Linked DNA regions of Mus musculus: region 1 is reported to be linked to region 2. The links are microRNA targets in miRTarBase. Many come from high-throughput screens and were not tested one by one. Region 2 holds a microRNA gene; the other region holds the end of a gene's coding sequence.
Evidence for each region. Region 2 holds the annotated microRNA mmu-miR-409-3p (GAAUGUUGCUCGGUGAACCCCU, at 1,312-1,333, shown strand). A microRNA usually pairs through its seed, bases 2 to 8, with sites in the 3' UTR of a target mRNA and lowers its output. Matches are read on the target gene's strand: a 7mer-m8 pairs with bases 2 to 8, a 7mer-A1 pairs with bases 2 to 7 and ends in A, and an 8mer does both.

Region 1 (3,000 bases), not on the chromosome of region 2:
AGCCAAGGCTGGATGAGAAAGCAGGGCCACCAAGGGCAGCGAGACTGCCAAGTCATCAAGCTGGTGGCTAGGGTAGGCCCCACCAGTGCTTAACAACTCCAGAGGGCACTGAAGTCTCACCTCTCCAAGTTCACCAGGAACTATGTCTTTGGCACCAGCTGTCAATTCTGGGAAGTTTTCCTTCAACATCGTGCCTTACAGAGACTGGGGTTGACAGCTTATTGCCTGTGTTCTGCATTCAAGATCAGGGCTGGTGACAGAGCAGCAGGCCTTGGGAAAGAGGCCTGTTAAGTTTCTGATGCAATTCCTGAGGCCGATTTAGCCTCTGTTAATGTTTTTTTTTTTTTTAAAAGAAAAGCCTAATTTTAGGGTACTCTCTCGATGGGTGGAAAGCTGGTGTTCTGGGCAAGGTGCATACATTTTTTGCCATAACTGTGGGGAAAAGCAGCCTGCATAAGCATGAAGTACTCAAGCCAAACCATGCCCCAATTTACACGTGCTGTTTGGCAGGGGATGGGAGTGGAAGAGATGGCAAGTGGCTGCCACCTGTGAGCCTTCTTCTCCATTGACCCAGTGCTTCTGGAGCAGGGCATGCCCACGCGAGTTTTCTGTGCCTTACTTAAGTATGAGACGCAGAGGGCTTCCCTCTTCCCTTTGAGTGGCTGAAGAAAGGCTGAGGTGCTTCTAAGGAAGCCAGGCACCCACCCTATCCCCATTGGCTCTGTGACTGCTCAAGATAGAAATGAGCACAGCACCCAGAAGCAGGGATGGCCCCCTTTGGAGAAAGCAAAGAAACCACAACTTGGAGACAGAGCTGCTGGCTCTCCGCATGCCTGAAGACTAAGATGCCCAAGACTCAGCCAGGACACAGTGACCTGTCACTTAGGTTGGTAAAGGCTTAGGTCTGCAATTTTCACTTTACTCACCTTTACTCAGAGCAAGAACACAGGTGAGACTTCTTAGGGGTAGGTTTCCCTGTCCGTGGGTCAGAATGCCTGGAACCAGCATCTTGGTCCTGCCTCCTGCCCTGATGGCTGTGCAACCCTGTGCACCCAGGCATTCTAGTGCCTCCCCTGCCCAGGGAGATGTCCAAATCCTAGGATTGTGAAACAGAAGCCCCTGCTGGCAGGCTTGGCCAGCTACATTACTTTGTGCTTTATCCAAGAGACAGGAAGGGCAGCACCTCTGGTCTTAAGAGTCACAGGGAGCAGGAGCTACATGGATGCAGCTGGCAAAACAACTGACCTACTAAAGGCAGCTGGGGCCCAAGTGCACCTCCACCTCCCTTCTGGGTCACAGAAGGAGAGGAAAGTTGTGCTGTTGCCTGTGACTCCTTGGGGACAAGGCTGGGGAGGTGGGAGTAACGGGAGGCAGCTGTGAGAGGTAGGGGCATAGATACCACACAGCCAAGGTTTCATGCAGGACTAGGCATGGAGTATCCAGCACTGACAGCCTTGGCATTTCAGTGTGTAAAGAGCAGGTACAGAGCAAGCCACGCAACTCAGCGATGATGATAAACTGGGACAGGGCTATAGGATCGGGGAGCATCGAGCTGGAGGCTGTGCAGCAATGGAAGGGACTTGTGTGGCAGCAACATACAGATGGGTTTGCACCCAGTCCAGGGTGTGGCACAGCTGGAGAAAACTGGCAAGAGGATCCCACCTTACAAAGGAGCAAAGAAAACCCTAAGATGTGGACGACAAACCAGGCGTTTGAAAGATCTGCCCAAATGAGGGCTGCCAAGACTCATGGCCTCGGCCACTCCACGTTCTGAGCAGAGGAATTCGGTTAGGTGTGCTCAGCCAGTGGGGCTTTGGTGACCAGACTTCTTGGGTACGATGCAAGGGCCGGCGACACCCTATCACAAGGATTCTCCTACTATAGTTTCAGCCCAGGACTGTAGAGACACAGGCTGTGGAAATTATTCCTCCGCCTCAGCACCAGGATCTGGCTCCTTGCCAAAGGCTTCTCAAGCCACTAGTTAGGTCAAGCAAGCTCCCCCTCCCCCAAACTCCAGCACAGCAGGTAGCCCGGGGTCTCCCCTCCCTTTGGGGATCTTGCCGAAATGCCTGGGTTAAGAGGTCCCTTCTCACTGTAGGGCTTTGCTGGGTCCCTTGCTCTCTGTGATCCCCGAAGCAAGGAGTTGTATAGAGACTGCTTTGAGCTTAGCTCTATATTGTGGTAGCGAGAAGTAGCCTCCTCCAACTGACCAGTACTTTACCTGCTGGGGAGGTGTAGGCCTCATCCTGCCTGGTGTACTCTATAGACATTTTATTTTAGCTTTTGAAATTCACCCTTATGGCCCTGCCTCAACTTTCAGCTAACCTTGTCCCTGGATTCCTAGGCTCGCCTAGATTATCACTGGAGAATGTGGACCTGGAAGAAAGGCCTTACAGAGGGCTCGGTCACGAAAAGGGGAGAAGAGTCCTCCTTGCCACGTCTGAGCTGCTTTAAGCCCCATCTGGCTCCTGACCAGGAGATGGCCTGCCTGAGCAGCTGAGGAGGCCCTGGGTGGCTACTGCAGATCCTCTGCGCAGTGACAACCAGCAGCAGGTGTGTCAGCTCCTTGCTGGCTGTACCAGCAGGCCATTCCAGCTGGGGATGTGAGGGGAGAGGTGTCTCAGGGCAGCTTCTTTCCAAGTCCCCTGTCCCGGGGAGGCAGTGCTCTGAGTCACCTGTCACTGCTGTCCCAACTGGACAGGATATTCAACCACTGTCTGGAACCTGGGGTAACACTAGGCCTCCAAAGGTCTAGTCCAAGCCAGGGCCTCTCCAGAGGTCCAAAGAGCACTTGGTGTGGGGCTGGCAGGTGCCCTGCCGCCCCTCACCCGGGTTAGCAACCACCTTCTACCTTGATGTGCAGAATCTTCGAGAAGCCAGGCCTCCGACGCAGGGCCTGCAGACAAAGGCCCTAAGTTAGCTCTCATTAGGTTGGGCAGGTAAACTGCTGCCACCTTCAACAGCCCCAGCCAAGGGGTCTTGTGTGGCCTTAAAAAGGCA
Region 2 (3,133 bases):
GGTTTCCATGTTGCCAGCTCCCAGGGCTAGGCTTAAAGACGTACCCATTGTTGGTGCTGAAGGGCTAGGCCCGTACGGGAGGTCATTTTAGAGTGGATGTATCCAGGGTCTAATATACTATCTGGGGTGTGATGAGCACCAGGTTTCATGGTGGCTCTCTTTCCAAAAGGATCTTTACCTCAAAGGACTCCAGAGGCTACATCATTGTCTTGGAACTGGTCAGTGGCTGGAGCTCTCTCCAGGACAAGTGCTTGGAGGAAGAACCTGGACAAGCTTCCCTCCCCATACTGTTGACTGGATCTTGTAGCTACCGTTAGCCACCATCATCGCCATTGTGTGCCTCTTAGGAGCATTTCCAGGAGGTGATGCCAGCTGGGGAAAGAGCCTCTGTCCCACAGGTCAGTTTCCAGAACACCTACATGAAGCTGCCCGTGGCGTCTTTTCCCCGTATGACACACTGCATGTGACCAGTCTCTTGCTGCCCTGCAGCAAGGCTAGAAGCCTGTGTGAACTCTTGCCAAAATCAGAGAAGGGATTCTGATGTTGGTCACACTCCAAGAGTTTTAAAATGAGTGGCGAACACAGAATCCATACTCTGCTTATGGCCTAAGTCAATGGATCCTGACCCTTACTGGAGAGCCCTCCCTGGCGTGCTCGTGCGGGGCAGCCATACACACTGGCACAAGGGGACCCTGCGGGATCTCCTTCCGCTGTTCTTTCTCTCCTCCCTCCATGTTTATCTTTGAAGCATTACTTGCTTGGTTTATAGGACTGGATGGTCAAGCAGTTCTTGCTATGACATCACCGTGGGGGGAGGGGGCAGGTGACAGGGCGGGGATGCCAGGGTCGTGGGGCTGCAGTGGTTGGGTGGGCCCAAGGAGGAGCATCTCTGGATGATGCAGTCATTGCCTCCTCGCTTCTGGAAGGCATCGTCTCTGGGAGGGTGGTGTGGTATATGCGCAGGGTCTCAGCATCTCCCTATCTCCAGCTTACAAAGGAGAGATAGAGTAAGCAGAGTTCTGCACCCACTTCTGCCCCGAGTCAGCTCCTCGCTACCTGGGTCTCAAGGTTGTCTGGGAAGGCTTTAGATATTCTTGGAAGGTGAAAGGGTGGTAGATTGCACTGGGGAGGTGATGGAATAATTGCTTTCACGTGGTGGAGGGTGGCTCCTCACTGAATGGGGAGTTATAATCTCTGAGGGGCTCCAGGATGGTTCTTCTGGAAACTCAGCCATCGGCCTCGTTCTGAGCATCCGAGCCTCTCCGTGGTACTCGGAGAGAGGTTACCCGAGCAACTTTGCATCTGGAGGACGAATGTTGCTCGGTGAACCCCTTTTCGGTATCAAATCCCTCCAGGGAGGCCACCTCAGGGAAGACCATGGACTCATCTCGCTCTGGGGTATGGGACGGATGGTCGACCAGCTGGAAAGTAATTGTTTCTAATGTACTTCACCTGGTCCACTAGCCGTCGGTGCCCGCTGCAGCCTGCGCCCAGGATGTCACAGCCTCAGCTCAACACCTCTGCTGGTACTTGAAGGGAGATCGACCGTGTTATATTCGCTTGGCTGACTTCGAATAATACATGGTTGATCTTTTCTCAGTATCAACGCTCAGCTTGGAGAAGCTCTTGGAGTTGCAGCCCCTGTGGGGGTGGGGACAGCATGGTGCTTCTAGGTTGCTGCCTCCGCGGGGAACTGGGCTGGGTGGAACAGGCTGTGTGCTGCCTGTGTCAACCCTACTCACCATTTATATGCAATCCCCCCCTTCCCCCCAGGACAGCTTCAGGTGGTGATTCCAGCTCCAGGGTTGCTGCGGTCAACACTGGGTACTTGAGGAGAGGTTGTCTGTGATGAGTTCGCTTTATTAATGACGAATATAACACAGATGGCCTGTTTTCAATACCACCTGCCACTCCGGTCACTCGGCAGTACATACCAGGTGTCACACCACTGCCCGGTAGGTAAATGCATGGACTCTGTATGACGCTTGTCACCCCCTCTTCACTGAACCTCAGCTCTGAGGAGCCTCCTGGGATCGCACCAACCTTGTAGGCTGGGCCACGAAGCATTGGCCAGATGTGCAATGGATGGCTGTCCACTTTCCATGCCTCTTTCCCGCCACAACAATGGGTGTTTGTCCCTGTCTAAGGCTTCCACCGAGGGCTGCATGCTCAAATGCCCTGTACCCTGGGTGCTTCTCAATACCATGAGGGCTTGGAGGGGCTAGCATGATACTTAGGGAAGAGCCAGGCCAGTTGGTTACACGTGCAGTTCCTAGTATCTGAGGTGAGATTGCCCGTGACGGGTTTCCATTCTTAATGCTGGTACAGTGCATGGTCACCTCTCTTTATCATTGGCTCTTACTGTGTGAGCATGGGTGTCAGGGGAGGGACACACTTTGCTGACCCACTGGACACCACTGATGGTCAGGCATGTAGCTGACTCATCCTGACCCAGAGCCTCACATCTCCTGAGGTGGGGGTTGGGAAGTCCAGAAGGGCATCTTAGAGGAAGAAGCATCCTAAGTAGAGTCCGTGCTGGTGGTACCTGAGCTAGCTTGTCTCTGAGACGTTTGTTTTCTATCTGATGACTATCCCACAGCCTACTTCTCTGCACCATGTCCTACCCTAGACCATTTCTACTTTGAGGCATTGATGCCAAGAACTGAAGCCTTTGTGTTGGTTGACTCTCTAGTCTGTATGTGAGACCATCCCTTGGCCTGTCTTGTCCTCAGTGCCACCCTGTTGGAAATAGCACAGAATGTCCTCCTGAGTCTACAAGGCAGTGATACCCAAGCTCTGTCCCTGCTTCACGAGCACAGGGGGCCCAGTAGGGATTAGCCTGCACTTCTTTTTTTTTTTTTTTTTTTTTATTTTTTTTTTTTTTTTCATTTTTTTTTTATTAGGTATTTAGCTCATTTACATTTCCAATGCTATACCAAAAGTCCCCCTTACCCACCCACCCCCACTCCCCTACCCACCCACTCCCCCCCTTTGGCCCTGGCGTTCCCCTGTACCGGGGCACACAAAGTCTGCGTGTCCAATGTAGCCTGCACTTCTTCATGTTTCCTCCAACTTAACACTCTGGCTCTGTCAGACTCCTGTGAGCTTACTGTAGAGGCTTGACCTAGAGTCT

Region 1: the mRNA of Fbxo41 is a reported target of mmu-miR-409-3p. Seed matches in the 3' UTR shown: 7mer-A1 at 330-336.

Annotation. Positions count from the first base shown.
Region 1 is chr6:85,470,193-85,473,192 of GRCm38, forward strand. Fbxo41 (F-box protein 41) reads right to left here. Exons shown (of 13, transcript NM_001289675.1): 13 at 1-2,896. The coding sequence ends at 2,834. Among named protein-coding and RNA genes, the nearest start is that of Cct7, 20 kb to the left of the region's middle.
Region 2 is chr12:109,741,893-109,745,025 of GRCm38, forward strand. It overlaps Mir409 (microRNA 409), which reads left to right and starts at 1,266; the gene lies at 1,266-1,344. Mirg (miRNA containing gene) reads left to right here. Exons shown (of 8, transcript NR_028265.1): 4 at 170-398; 5 at 1,465-1,526; 6 at 1,774-1,955. It overlaps Mir541 (microRNA 541), which reads left to right and starts at 517; the gene lies at 517-606. Mir412 (microRNA 412) reads left to right here and starts at 1,397; the gene lies at 1,397-1,476. It also overlaps Mir369 and Mir410.